3 linked regions of the Mus musculus genome follow. The protein of the gene in region 1 interacts with the protein of each later gene in a pairwise test. Links are inferred from orthologs where the notes say so. Each region holds a gene or a part of one and is shown in the gene's direction. Other genes may lie near its edges. The genes, in order: Ccdc33, Blk and Emd.

Region 1 (4,878 bases):
GAATATCCTCTGTTGAGATATCAGAGACTTCCTTCAGCCAAGCTCTGAGCCCTAGATCCAGCCAGGCATCGGATGAGTCATAAAGTGAAGGCCACCCAGCAGAGGGGGAGCCAGCAAGCCCCGGGTAGTAAGAAAGAAAGAAAAAGAGTTTAAGTGGAACAACCCGTTGAAACAGAAGTAAGACCAACTCTCTGACACCTGCACAGCCCAACCTGAGCTCACAGCAACACCTAGGCCTCCAGGAGGTCCCAAGTTCCACACATGTCCCTGACACCAAATTGTGTGTGTGTGTGTGTGTGTGTGTGTGTGTGTGTGTGTTTGTGTTTGTGTGTGTGGTCCCAGGTTCAGGGTCCCAGTTAGCACTCTGTCTGAAGATACCAGATGGGCATAGATCTGGGGAAGCCAGAACAGATGCTAGGGAGATAGAGCCAATACTGGCACCAGTCAGAGGGACTATAGCCAGAAGGCTAGACAGCAGTGGCAGATGACTGGTGGTGTCCGATGAGTTCCTGCTGGCTGGGGACTCCCCTCCCCTAGAAAGCCATGGCACACCATGCAGCAGGTGGGAGACTATAGCTGGGATATAGTTGGATTCCGCCCCCAGGCAGCTGGAGACCAGGGGAGAGTTGGATGTAGAGTTGTGTTTTCTGGATCCTGGGAGGCCCACCCACAGGAGCAAGGCATCCCACAGCCCAGAAGTCCACAGGCAGCTCAGAGGGCTCACTTGCCTCCCATCTCTGAGCCGTTCTCTTCCAGAACCTTGCTTGCCTGTATCTCAGATCTCAGTCTCTCTCTCTCTCTCTCTCTCTCTCTCTCTCTCTCTCTCTCTCTCTCTCTCTCTCTCTGTGTGTGTGTGTGTGTGTGTGTGTGTGTGTGTGTGTGTGTGTGTCTACAGATACTGCATGCTTGGAACTTGTGCTGAATAGTAAAGAATATGGTTGGCAAACAAATTCAGGGCTGAAGATAAGGCTCAGGAGTTAAAGTACTTTTCTTGCAAATGTAGGGTCTTGAGTTTGAGGCCAAGCACACATGTAAACACTAGGTACAGTGGAGTGTTTGTAGTGCTAGCATGAAAAGGGGAAAACAGAAAAAAAAAAAAAAAAACCTAAGGACTCACTGACCAAGCAATCTAGTCTAACTGATGAGCTCTGGGTGGAGGAAAACTTGCACTGTTTCAAGGACTGGATCTCTTTCCTGAGGTTGACATTCAAGGCTGAGCATCCACAGGCACCCACACAGGCACCCACACAGGCACCCACACACACAGGCACACACACACACAGGCACACAGGCACACACACACACACAGGCACACACACAGAGGCACACACACACACAGGCACACACACACACAGGCACACACACACAGGCACACACACAGGCACACACACACAGGCACACACACACAGGCACACACACACAGGCACACACACACAGGCACACTCCCCCCCCACACACACACACAGGCACACACACACACAGGCACACACACACACAGGCACACACACACACACACAGGCACCTCACACACACACAGGCACACACACACAGAGGCACACCCCCCCACACCCCCACACACAGGCACACCCACACACGCACGAAATGCATATGAATTCTGCTCAGTTGCCCTGTACGTATATAGGCAGACTTAGTTGTGGTTTGTTTAAAAAAAAAAATGAGAAAGAGAAAAAAAAAAGGAAAAGGAAAAAGAAAACAAAGAACCAAACAGACTCAAAGCCCCATTCAGACCCTGACTTCACTGCCCATTACTCCTAACACTGAGTAGGTTGCTTGCCCCCTCTGGTTTCCTCGGTTTCTTCTGTAAAGTGGTTGTCCCATAGGCTTGCTGGGGGTTGAATGCAGATCAGCACCTAAAGCACTTAGCCGGAGGCCTGGCATGTGGGGGAAGCCAGGGATCATTAAGACTATGGTTATTGCCCTTCCAGACCTAAGTTGGCTTCCTGCCCCCACTCCCTGCATCTCCTCCATCTTATATCTGGATCCTGATCTTGGCCTTGAGATGTTACCTGAGTCTTCAGTGTCTTCTTGGTGTCTCTTCTTGGATGCTGGGCTATTTGGGAAGCTGATGGCAGTCCAGCCCCCAAGTGGCTCTGGTGGGCAGTCTAAGAGACTCCTCCTGTGGAGGAGTTGAGTTAGAAGAGGGAGCGGGAGAAGAGAGAAGGTGAAGAAGTAGATAGGATTTACTCAGGATCTAGAAACATGGCTCCATCCTTTTGAGACTGTTGCCTACAGGTTTCTTAACCCAATACCTGAACCCTATGTTCCCCTGGTATTACATGAATCAGTGTGGTCCCTGAGGAGACACATTTGTGTGGCCCTCCTAATACTCCCAGGAGAGATGAGGACCATGCCCAACCACTCTCTGGGTAATTGCTAGGGTTTGGGGGGGGTACAACCTGAGGGTGACCTTAAGAGTGACTCACTATGGGTGCAGATGTAGAGTGGGATCCTGGGGGGTTGGGCATTGGGTAAGGGTTCAGCTGAGGCTTCTGGGCTTCTAGGAGATGAACAATTACCGGCGGGCCATGCAGAAGATGGCAGAGGACATCCTGGCACTGAAGAAGCAGGCTAACATCCTGGAGGAGGAGAACGGCATGCTGAGGAGCCACCTGAGCCAGCAGAGCATAGAAGAGCAGAGCAGGGCGGAGGAAGAGAACCTGGGTGAGCCCCTGGACACATGCTGGGGCCCAGGCTTACTGTCAGGAGCTAGGGAGCATTCTCCAGATATTGTGTGCCCCATCTCCGGAGTCCCCTACCCCTCCCACTCCTCCCCCCTGTAGACACACTTGTACAACCTACCTAGCTATAATGTCTTAGGAGGGGAAACAGAAAATCCTGGGCCAAGCCCTAGAGCTGAGGTGCGCTTGCCTCTACCTATTCTTGAGCCAGCTTCTTCCCACCCCAGCAGTGTCCATGAAGCAGAAGCTACTGCTGAACGAACTGGATATGAAGAGGCTGCGAGACAGGGTGCAGCACCTGCAAAATGAGCTGATTCGGGTGAGCTAGGGTCGGCTGGACAGAGGGACAGCTCCTCCTCCGGGCACAGTCCTGGGAAGTATCTGGAGCAGAGAGAAAGTCCACAGTGGGGAGGGAAGCCGGCCAGTTCAGGCTTCAGCAGAATCCCACGTGTGCCCTCGTGGCTGGAGTAACTCTCATGGATCCCATGTGTGCCCTCGTGGCTTGGGGAACTCTCATGTACCCATTGGCCTCCACCCTGCAGAAGAATGACCGAGAGAAGGAGCTGCTGCTTCTGTACCAGGCTCAGCAGCCCCAGGCTGCACAGCTGAGGCGCTACCAGGACAAGCTGCAGAAGATGAAGGCCCTGGAGGACACTGTACGGCACCAGGAGAAGGCAGGTTCTGGGGCCAGCTGTGGAGGAGGGGCAGCAGCCTAGAAGTTGTGAGGTCTCAAGCCAGCCCAGCCTTGTCACCTTGTCACCAGGTGATCGAGAAGATGGAGCAGATATTGGAAGAAAGGCTCTGTGAGAGGAAGGAACCAATACCATCAAACAGGCCACAGGGGAAGCCTATCATGGGTGGGTTTGCTCCCCAAGGTAGATCAGAATAAATGACCTTCCAGCTTTTGTCTTGCCCTATCCCTCCTCCCCCCCCCCCAGTTTCACAAGAACCTTCAGAGAAGGGTCAGTTCTCTGTTATGTCTGTGAGCTGGAGAGAGATACCCTGAGAAATATTACTCTCACCTCTCTCAAGTACTGAGAGCTTCCATGGTGATCTGAGCCCTCTTCTATCAGGAAGCCCCTTAGTACACAAGGACAGTGTGTGAGCCAGGCAGAAAGAGACCAGACCTCTAAGGTTGAGGCCCTATGAACCACAGGGTCAGAGAGAGACATCCCCAATGGATGGCCTCCAAGGCTGCAGTCCCCAAGTCCTTGGCTTCCCCAGCTCTTAGCATCTCTCCTATTCTGCCTTCCCTAAGCAAACAGACAAGACCACTCTGATAGTATCCGTTTATTTTCCCCATTGGTGTAAACCACAGCCACCCACAACTGTCAATCAAAAATGGCTCTGATAAGCACAAAAGAATAAAATAACACCTTATCAAGTGGATCATCTCCCGGGCCATGTGAGAATGCTCTCCAAGTATCTCTGTAGTTCTGGCCCTGGGCCCAGTCTTCATGGATGGTTAGGTACTCAGGGGCTGGAAGTCTTTAGAAAACCATGAAATTCTCAGGGAATCTTATTCACCTGGAGTCTGGGTGAGTCTGCAGAGGGCAACCAGGCCGAAGGACCAGAGAGTGACCAGAGAGACAAATACAAGGAGAATCGAGCAGGGAGGGACATGGGGAAAACGTAGGAATCTAAACAGCCTGGGAGGACAGCCCGAGGGATATGGACCTGACTCTACTGGCAAAGGAGAGCCGTTGATACTGAGGCTAATGGGCACATAGAAGCAGCAAAGCCCATCTCGAAAGCACCTGTTCCTGTGTTCACAGCCTCGGGCATTCCTCTGGGCCCCGTGGGAGAGACCCTGGCTGTTGACCTTTACTCCATGCTGCTAGCAGAAAACACGAGGCTTCGGACAGAGCTGGAAAAGAACCGCCAGCAGTCAGCCCCCATCATTCTGCAGCAGCAGGCCCTACCGGTAAGAGCTGCCACACAGGTCTGGCTTGAGCCTGCCGGCACTGGTCAGCAGGTAGCCCACAATCATCCCTCGCATGAACCAAGTTGAAGATTCGGCCCAGAATCTGGGCTTCCCAGCACCCAACAGCACTGGAAACATTCGTACTAGGGCCTTGCTCTTGCGCTCCTAAGATAACTATCTCACCATTGTCTGCCATCCTGGGAGAGAGCAAGGCCCTGGATCACCCTTGACCCCTGAATCCTAACTTCACCTGCC
Region 2 (4,804 bases), on another chromosome or scaffold:
AGAGCTGAAGTCACCTTTTCCATCCATCAGTGAGTGACTGAAGACTTAATGGCCTGGTACAGGTGCTTGGGACAGACAAGGCTCCTCTTCAGTGAGAGTCTGCTCCTCTGGAGCACCTGGGGCAGGGGCAGGGGCAGGGGCAGGGGCAGGGGCAGGGGCAGGGCCTCAGCTACAGTCACCTTATTCAACACTGACCCTAACCTTGGGTCCCAGAGATGGCTTCTCGTGCTCTGGGTAATAACTATGACCTCTCAGGGAAGTGACCCAGCCCATTGGACATTGGTGATTCCAAGGCATGGTTGGCTCCTCTGAGAGAAGTGTCCACTGAGGGAGTAGCCCTGCCCTTCCGTGCTATGCCCTGTTCGTCCTTTCTCCTCCCTGTCTCATTAGAGGCTATCTACAACCCCAGCCTTCTTTGCTATTCCCAGTCCACAGAACCTTGGAGACAATTGTCTGAAAAAGGGGGACAGGCCTGGGGATGTCAGCCTAGCTTCTCTGCTGCCCTGAGTCTGGGTTGGTCTCATGGGAAGGGGTGGATACCTTCTCTCTCCCCTGGGCAGGGCATGTGAAGCTGGCCTTATGAGCTGGTAGGCTCCATCCTTGCTGCCCTTCACCATGTGACCTGTCCCCTCAGGTTGCAGAGGGGATGGCTTACATAGAGCGCATGAATTCCATCCACCGTGACCTGCGGGCAGCCAACATCCTGGTGTCTGAGACGTTGTGCTGCAAAATCGCTGACTTCGGCTTGGCCAGGATCATTGACAGTGAATACACTGCCCAAGAGGGTGAGCAGAGTGTGTGAGTGTACACACACTCGCGCGCGCACGCACACACACACACACACACACACACACACACGAAAGCCTTTGAACGTCTCAACTCTCTGGAGCCCCCTTGAATGTCTCCTTGCTGTTGGAGATGACTAGGGAGACCCATGGTCCTTGTGTTTGGTCCTTTCCCACCCAGCTCAGCACTTCCTTTCCCTAGATGGGAGGGGGTGGCAGAGAAGCAACTCAAGCCCCTTGGGAGTCTTCATTCAGAATGGCCTTGGAATGCTCAGCTATCTCCTCCCCATCCTGGAGACTCCAGTGCATATAAATCTAGAAGGATGGAGGAGAAGACCTGCACTTTCTTCCCCTTGTTTCACCCTCTGATCCCCAGACTAAGTTGAGAAAATCCTCCTGTGGAAGGAGGGTGTCAGGGAGCACAGGTTGGAAAACACAGCTCTAACTAAAGCATGAGCATCCAACCCTTGCACCCGAAGGGTTGCATGGATGCTCTTCTCTTACTGTGAGTGAGGAAAATTGACTTTGCAGGAGGACTCTGGTACATTGATCAAGCAAGCAGTACTGGTTTAGTGCATTAATCAGTGGATTCAGGAGGAGAGCCACATCTTAGGGGCCGATAACCCCCTCAGGGGACTTCCAACTGGCTCCCCAGACAGTGAAACCATCAGGGGGGAGGTGGCCAATGCCACCTCAGCCTGAGGTTGGCTCTCAGTGCCAACCAAGGCTGTAGCCATCACGGTCTGAACTGAGATGGGCCTTGCTATCCCTCCACACAGTGGCCCTCAGAGGTGTCTGTCTGAGTGTCAGGTTTGCCTTTTGCAGGAAAGCACGGACTGAAGCCCGCCCATACCACGGTCCCTGCCGCTGGACAAGGCCGAGTGAGATAGGAAAGGATGCTTCCATCCCAGATGGACATGCACAGGGCTGGGGACATAGCTCAGTCAGCAGACTGCCTCTCTGGCATGAAGCCCGTGGTTTCATATTCAGTGGAGTATAAATGGGGCATGCTGGTGCATGGCTGTGATCCCAGCACAGTGGAAGGTGATGGCAGGAGGATTAGGAGTTCAAGGTTACCCCTGGCTACGTACGCTCTAGTTGGAGGCCAGTCTGGGATATACACAAGACTCTGTCTCCAAAAAATCAAAATCAAACAAAACAGTAAGTCAGATGGAAGCATATATGGGTGGTACTGGTTTTGTTGTTGGTTTTGTTTTTGCTTTTTTGGTTTGATTTGGTTTGGTTTTTGGTTTTCAAAGACAGGCTCCTCTATGTAGCCCTTGCTGTCCTTGAACTTACTCTGTGGACCAGGTTGGCCTTGAACTCAGAGATCCAAATGCCTCTGCCTCCTAAATGCTGGGATCAAAGGTGTGCACCACACCACCCAGGGACATCAACACTGTTTTTAAGAACTCCTAGGATAGTAGCAAGTGACTGTGTCTTCCTATATCCTCATGTATCCAGTGTACACATCCTGCAGGCCCTCCAGTGGGAACGGGCAGATAGGGGCAGGACTCTGTGGGTTGGGGGTAGATGGTTGGCTGTCCCTGGAGCTACTGCACTTTCCTGGCAGGGGCCAAGTTCCCCATCAAGTGGACCGCCCCGGAGGCCATCCACTTCGGGGTGTTTACCATCAAGGCTGATGTGTGGTCCTTCGGAGTCTTGCTGATGGAGATTGTCACCTATGGGCGCGTTCCCTACCCAGGTAGGCATTGTCCCTGTCCTTCCTACCATCCTCCTGGGACATCCTGATGGTGACTCGCCAGGCTCACTGACTGTGGGTATGTCACACTGGTGAGAGCAGGGTCCTGTCACAGGGACTGAAGCCCAGCCCTGCATTGTGGGCTTCCTCTCCTTCTGCACACTGCTCAGGGCCACAGGAAGAGGGAGAGGGGGAGGAGGAGGAGGGGGAGGGGAGGGAGAGGGGGANGTANATGGATAGGGAGAGGGAGAGGGAGAGGGAGAGGGAGAGGGAGATGGAGATTANGGTGGAATTAGATGGCGTAAGAGACAGGTGTAATGGCTCAAGCTTGTGATTCCAGCCCTTGGGAGGCTGAGACAGACAGATCTCAAGTTCAAGGCCAGTCTGGCCTATACAAGAAGACCTGTGTGAAAAGCCAAAGTAGTACTACGATCCTGGCACCTATGTGACCTTCCAGGGTTACACTAGCCATAGTGTATCAGAGCCCACTCTTTCCCTTCTAGTGCCGGTCAGGGCCTAGTCTAGTGCCCTCAGGGCCAGTGACTGCACTCCTGGAGCACCACCAGCCCTGAAGCTCCCTGTCTGCCCTCCTGTAGGAATGAGCAACCCTGAGGTCATCCGTAGCCTGGAGCACGGCTACCGAATGCCATGCCCGGAGACATGTCCACCGGAGTTGTACAATGATATCATCACTGAGTGCTGGCGGGGCCGGCCAGAGGAGCGGCCTACCTTTGAGTTCCTGCAGTCGGTGTTGGAGGACTTCTACACAGCCACGGAGGGCCAATATGAGCTGCAGCCCTAGCAACCAATGGTCTCTTCAGGGCTCCCAGCCTGAGCCTCCTTCTGGACTCTGACTTTGGGTTAATATGTTCACACTTAGCTCTTCTTCCAGGTAGGTTGCAGAATCAGGGAAGAATGGTGTGCCTGCTTCTCAAGTGAGGGAGCCAGGAGACAAAGATGGCTTCATGGTGAGGCATGAGCTCTCAAGGCACAACCTCGGTCCACCTTTCACTGGCTGTGTGCCTTTGGCCAAGTTACTTTGCTGCTCTGTGTCGTCTCTTCCTTGAATGTAAAATGAGCAAGGATTGTGTTAGAACTTACCTCCAGTTGTGTTCAGACCCCGATAGTCCCGAAATCAGTCTGACCAGTTAGCGATGGACAGGATGTCAGGCTGTCATAACCCAGAGTGCAATCAGAGCTCCCATTTCTCTCACCTTTTCAGTCTCATCAGCAAGTGCCTCCCTGTCTGCTGCTTCAGAACTATGGGTCAATCCTCCAGGTCCCCTGGCTGTGTGCCCCCTACCCATCCCTGCATGCACACTTTGGGACTTTTCTATAATAAAGTCATGAGAATTGTACCTTTCCCCTGGTCTTTACCAGTGACATGAACAGATGTGGCACACGAGATGTGTGTAGGAGGTGGGGAGCACCTTGCCCCAACCCTACCCCATTCCTCAGCAAAGGACACTGGGTGTGACTGACACTGTCTTTCCTGGCCAGCAGGTGGCGATCTCACCCCACAAACCTGTATCTGGGACTCCATGGACGCAAGCACCTTGAGTTCCAAGTTTCCCTAGAACATGGACAGAAAGCCATGAGATGGGGCGGTGATCTCCCCAAGTGTGGAGGCTCTCTCGCCTGTTTTTCTGTCTCCCATTCATCCTGTTTTGTTTATATAGGTGGGGTGGGGGGATAAGTTTATAGAAAAATAAGTAGAAAGGGTCCAGTCTCCATAAACCCTCAACCCTTTTAGATGTCAGCACCTTGCAATAGTGAGCCCACTTGCTCCTCCAGAGGGGCTGGGATCAACACACTTCACACTTGGGTTCACACCCTACCTATACTCCGTGTTCCACCAAAGCACAAGATGATGGATCCATCAAGCCCAAATTATACAGAATAGTCCTCCTGGCCTCAGAATCCCCCAGTGTCTCCCCTCATGCCAAGGTTACAGGCACCCACGCTCATGATGGCATTTTACATGAGCACTGAGGATTCAGATACAAGTCCTCATGTGCGCCGGGCAAGCATTCCCCCTAAGCCCTATCCACAACCCGTGGCTTTGTATTTCAATGTTCCCAGCTGGCACTGATGACTGCCCAAGGATCCGGATTTTGGCAGCTGAGCTGAGTGAGCTACTGAGGGATATTATTTCTCAGGAAAACTGGCTCTGTGTGACTTCCCCATGGCTCTCCCCAGGTCTGCTGTAGAGGTGACATCAAAGGCTGACTTACTCCTCTCAGGGAGGAGGGCCTTTCTCCTTCCAGGTGATGCTGGAACCCACAAGGGGTCGCAATTTGCCCGCACTGACTGAAGG
Region 3 (4,978 bases), on another chromosome or scaffold:
AAACCTTGTCTCCAAAAATATTTACATTATGACTCATAAAGTAGCAAAAATTACCATTATAAAGTAGCAACAAAAATATTTTGTGATTGGGAATCACCACAACAGCATTAGGAAGGTTGAGAAGCACTGATTTAAGAGATCAGGCATCCTACACACTTTTTCTACGCGTACCCCTTCTTCTAGATCTCTCCAATAAAGGGCAGCCTACCTAGATCCACATGACTTTGTGTAGAATATAATGGTCATGGTCACTCTTCAAGGCAACCTTTCTCTGATCCAGATCCTTAGTAAGCCTCCATCAATTCCCATGGTTTGCCTCTAGGCCAGCAGTTCAGAACCTCTGGGGTCGCTATCCCTTTGGATCTCACATATCAGATATCCTGCATAACAAATATTTATATTTTAATTTATAGCAATATTGAAATTACATTTATGAAGTACAACACAATAATTTTATGGGTGGGGAGTCACCACAACATGAGGAACTGTATTAAAGGATTGCAGCATTAAGGAGGTTGAGAAATAGTGCTCTAGGCTTTGTACACTTGTCTAGGTCTCTAAGGTCACACCAAGCTTAGAGACTATTCTACTCAGCCAGAGAAGACCTCTCCCCCCAGAATTCCTCAGGGCCCAAGGTAGAACAGTGAGTATGGCAGGTACAAGGTGTACAGATCTACATGCATCACAGGGCAGGCAGGCAGGCAGGCAGGCAGGCGCCCTCTGATTGTGTGCATTGGCATACCCTGGACCTTTGGAAAGCTGCTTGATCCTGTAGTGCTGGTGGCCACTTGGCCCAGTGCTGGCCCCATTTCCTCGCGAATGGAACTAGGCATTAGAGAAGACGACGGTGGGAATGGGCCTGTGCAGGTGTGCAGGCCAGGGTCATGGAGACTGGGAAGACCAAAGGAGATGGGTAGGGAGTGCCAGGGCTCTGTGGGTGTCTATGTTAGGTGATGAGAGCCCTGTCTGACAGCATACAAAGAGCTCTCAGCAGCGTTAGGCGCTCTGGAAGGGTTCGCTCTCAGGATTGCTTTACACTGCTGTGGATCACACTGTGGCTGAGAATCCTAGGCACTGGAACACCGGGGGAATAAAATCAGGAATGAAGCCAGTAACAAAAGTATGTGAGATCTCACAGGTTGGGAAATCTCACAAGCCGGTTTTGGTCAAATCACTTGCCTCATCCCTAGTAAGTTGCGCTCTAAAGCATCCTCTAGTGAGGTCAGCCAGCTCCGCCCCTCGGCGGCCTAGCTCTCAAAGGAAGTCTCAACCGCTGCCGCACGAGTTCTGAAAGCTCCGCCTTCTCCCTGTTCGAGCCAATCTCTCACAAGCGTTACGTTTCTGTTTGCCAGCCCAGCCTGTTCCCTCAGCTAGACCGGTCTGCACCGGCCGTTCTGGCTAGTTTGGGCCTGCCCTGAGGAGCGCGCGCAACCTGCGTAGCCGCGGCTGTGACGCAAATGTGACGGCGGCGTGACGCGCCCACAGCCGCTCTTGAGGCTCTGGCGCTTCTTCTTCTAGGCTCCGAGCGGTTGGTTTCTTGGGCCCTGTCTGTAGGCCCCGGCCGCCCCTGGCGTTCAACACCGCTTCCAGGTGCCGGCCTTGTCTGCCATGGACGACTATGCGGTTTTGTCCGATACTGAGCTGGCCGCAGTGCTACGCCAGTACAACATCCCTCATGGGCCTATTGTGGGTATGCTGCACCCGGTGGCGCTCAGAACCTCTCTTGGTCCACTGCTTTCCCGCGCTCCTCCCTGAGCGTTCTCCCCACCTCTCCCTCCCCTCAAGTCCCCTCCCCGTGTTCCCTTGTGCTCTTGGGGTGCTCGGCTCACGCCCTCTGACCGCTTCGCACCCTGTGTCTGGGCAGGTTCCACTCGCAAGCTCTACGAAAAGAAAATCTTCGAGTACGAGACCCAGAGAAGGAGACTCTTACCCCCCAACTCGTCATCTTCTTCATTCTCCTATCAGTTCTCAGGTGAGCCCTTAACTGCAGAGCCCCAAAGAGCAGCTTGGGGCACACGTCTTAGGGAGGGAGGGTGTGGCCGAAGCTATTGAGGGAGTAGGGGGAAGGCTGGAGATCGAATGGTCCTGTCCCTCCTCCTTCACATGCAGACTTGGATTCAGCCGCCGTGGACTCAGACATGTATGATCTGCCCAAAAAAGAAGACGCCTTACTTTACCAGAGCAAGGGTAAGGCAGGTATAGGGTGGGCACTGATGTTTTTATCCCATGCTTCCGGGATTTGGGCACAGGGAAACCCCAGACCTCCCTCACCTCCTTGTACCAGTTCTCAGTGGCTTCAGAGGGGAGAAACTGACACAGCACACACAGGCTGGGGAGGGAGAAGAGGAGGCCAGTTAAGGGGCACCACTTTTTCCTCTACCACTGTTTTCCTCCCCAAGACTATAATGATGACTACTATGAGGAGAGTTATTTGACCACCAAGACATACGGGGAGCCTGAGTCTGTGGGCATGTCCAAGAGCTTCCGCCAGCCGGGGACCTCACTTGTAGATGCTGATACCTTCCATCACCAGGTGAGTTGGCTGGTAGGTATACCTGGGGTGCAGCCTTAGGGAATTCTAGGTTTGGATAGGTGCAGAGAGTGGATCTTAGGCTTTCAAATCTGGTTAGGGTCAGCATACAGCTGTCGGGTTAAAAATTCTATGTTGGAACCTTCAAAACTATTGGATTTGGGGATGCTCAGCAGAAGAGTATTTACCTATGGTTTCATCTCCAGCAGCACATAACAAATGTTTTGGGGTTTTGGCTTTTTTAAAAGATTTAATTACTTTAATTATACATATGTGTGGCCAATTTTTGTTAGTTTGTGGGTATTTCCCCCCCCCCACTTCACCCCCAGTAATGAAAAATTCCCAGAATTCCAAATATCACACAATTGTAGAAACTATCTGAAACTCACAGAAACACACCTTTGCTAAAAGCATGAGGCAACTCATAGTTAGCTGCTGTGAAGCAGCCCCATATTCCACACCTAAGATTAAAACAAAAACATATTCTTACAATATTTCTGTGTTTCTTAAAAAAGCCAAAATTCCAGAATTCTCACATACATGTCTGTGGGTAGTATGCATGAGTGCTGGCACCTACAGAGGTGAGAATTGTCATATTCCCACTAGAGCTAGAGCTACAGGTAGTTGTAAACTGCCTGATGTGTGTGCTGGAAATTGACCTCAGGTACCTAGGAAGAATAATATGTGCTCTTAACCAGTGAACCACCTCTTCAGCCCACAAACTTTTTTGATCAGAGAATATGTAACAGCTCCTGCACTCTAGTAATTAATCTACGATATAGATTTAAGCCTCCTGAGAATCCAGGGGAATAAAAGGATGCTGGAACAAAGTCAACAGGGTTAGTAACTGAGCAGCAAGGCCCCACAGATAAAGAGGCTCCACATACTCAGAATGGGGGAGGGGGGGGCAATTTTCTGGTCCCTATGATATGATTAGAGCAGGCTAGCCAGAGACATTTAAGGAAAACCATTCTTCCCCATTTCTAATCCTAATTATTCTGCAGGTGCGTGATGACATTTTCTCTTCTTTAGAAGAGGAAGGCAAGGATAGGTGAGTAGTGAACATATGTAGGGACAGGGACAAATTCGAGTCTCAGACTCTCCTGCCTACCTGTTGCCTTCTTTTGCCACAGGGAGCGCCTCATCTATGGCCAAGACAGTGCCTACCAGAGCATCGCACACTACCGCCCCATTTCCAATGTCTCCAGGAGCTCTCTGGGCTTATCATATTATCCTACATCCTCCACCTCTTCTGTGTCCTCCTCTTCATCTTCTCCCTCTTCATGGCTTACCCGACGTGCCATTCGGCCAGAGAAGCAGGCCCCTGCTGCTGCTCTGGGCCAGGATCGACAGGTCCCACTCTGGGGCCAGCTGTTACTCTTCCTGGTCTTTGCTGCCTTTCTGCTCTTTGTTTACTATTCCATACAAGCTGAAGAAGGCAACCCCTTCTGGATGGATCCCTAAGGGTATTGGTTTTAGAGCAGCTCTTACCAGGAGTTTTGGCTGATTGCCTTATCGGTGTTTGCTGGGGGTGGGGAGGGTAGGGGCTTTTTTGTGTGTTCTAGTTGGGTGCAAGGTCTAGCCTAAGGCAATGCTTGTCTCCCACCTCATCCTGCCAAGGAAGCAGCAAATGTTGGCCTTCTACAGCCCAGTAGGCCTACCTGTACCTTCCTCTGGAGCCTCCTAGCCCTATTGCCTCTGACCCTTAGGGTACCGGGGTCTGGTGGGAGGACCTCACTTCATTAGAGGAAAACTTGGTGGTGGCAGTGGTAGTTGTCATGCATGCCTGTTTGTTGTCACCTTTTCAGGGGGTATTAACAAAGACCACCCTGGCTTTGCTTTCATGGACACAATAATAAACATGTTTATTTTTACCTTGTTGATTCTTCCTACTGGGATAGGAGCTGGGCTGCCATGGCACAGGTGGTTGGTTTTAGGTCTCCAAACTCAATGTGGCTTTTCCCTTTGGTTGTGCTTGGCCTTGGGGAAGGAAACAAGTGCTACCCACAGATAAGTCTATGTTTTGGTTGTGGGCTTTATTTCTGGGCCTACTTCCTGAAGTTCTTATAACCACCTAGAAAAATAACTACCGTGTAATCAAATGTGTGGGTAAGCCTATGGGAAATGTAGGCAAAACCGCATGTGACAACACATTCAGATACTTTAGTCGGGAGAGGCTAACACCAACATCTGAGGTTACAAGGATAGAAAAGAAATGAGGCATCTTGCCAGTACATTGTTATTCAGCTCCTGGGATTGGTGGCATGGTGGTAGAATCAAAGACTACAGTGCACCCATGGGTATCCTAACTCTTTGCCTGTTTATTCTTGCTCAGTTTCCAGGTTTTCTTTGGAGATAATCTTTTTGTACACTGTGTTAAAATGTTTCTGTCCTTCCTCATCTGCCTAAGGTACCTACTGTAAAAGAGCTAAATGGCGAGACTTCCTG

What was found.
Region 2: the proteins of Ccdc33 (region 1) and Blk interact in a two-hybrid assay, tested with the Homo sapiens proteins (3 studies listed by BioGRID and IntAct). The two-hybrid records come from large-scale screens. The link is inferred for Mus musculus from reciprocal best matches to the Homo sapiens genes CCDC33 and BLK.
Region 3: the proteins of Ccdc33 (region 1) and Emd interact in binary tests that used the Homo sapiens proteins (3 or more experiments, as listed by UniProt). The two-hybrid records come from large-scale screens. The link is inferred for Mus musculus from reciprocal best matches to the Homo sapiens genes CCDC33 and EMD.

The regions. Positions count from the first base shown.
Region 1 is NC_000075.6:58,031,360-58,036,237, reverse strand, and holds part of Ccdc33 (coiled-coil domain-containing protein 33), read left to right. Parts: intron 1-2,027; exon of another isoform or gene 2,028-2,137; intron 2,138-2,522; coding exon 2,523-2,682; intron 2,683-2,889; exon of another isoform or gene 2,890-2,926; coding exon 2,927-3,018; exon of another isoform or gene 3,019-3,241; coding exon 3,242-3,373; exon of another isoform or gene 3,374-3,462; coding exon 3,463-3,556; intron 3,557-3,721; exon of another isoform or gene 3,722-3,964; intron 3,965-4,474; coding exon 4,475-4,623; intron 4,624-4,878.
Region 2 is NC_000080.6:63,371,877-63,376,680, reverse strand, and holds the end of Blk (tyrosine-protein kinase Blk), read left to right. Parts: intron 1-634; coding exon 635-785; intron 786-2,358; coding exon 2,359-2,490; intron 2,491-3,083; coding exon 3,084-3,289; 3' UTR 3,290-3,844; downstream 3,845-4,804. UniProt on the Homo sapiens protein: Non-receptor tyrosine kinase involved in B-lymphocyte development, differentiation and signaling. B-cell receptor (BCR) signaling requires a tight regulation of several protein tyrosine kinases and phosphatases, and associated coreceptors.
Region 3 is NC_000086.7:74,253,344-74,258,321, forward strand, and holds Emd (emerin), read left to right. Parts: upstream 1-1,343; 5' UTR 1,344-1,608; coding exon 1,609-1,690; intron 1,691-1,864; coding exon 1,865-1,972; intron 1,973-2,109; coding exon 2,110-2,187; intron 2,188-2,399; coding exon 2,400-2,533; intron 2,534-3,534; coding exon 3,535-3,581; intron 3,582-3,663; coding exon 3,664-3,994; 3' UTR 3,995-4,550; downstream 4,551-4,978. UniProt on the Homo sapiens protein: Stabilizes and promotes the formation of a nuclear actin cortical network. Stimulates actin polymerization in vitro by binding and stabilizing the pointed end of growing filaments. Inhibits beta-catenin activity by preventing its accumulation in the nucleus.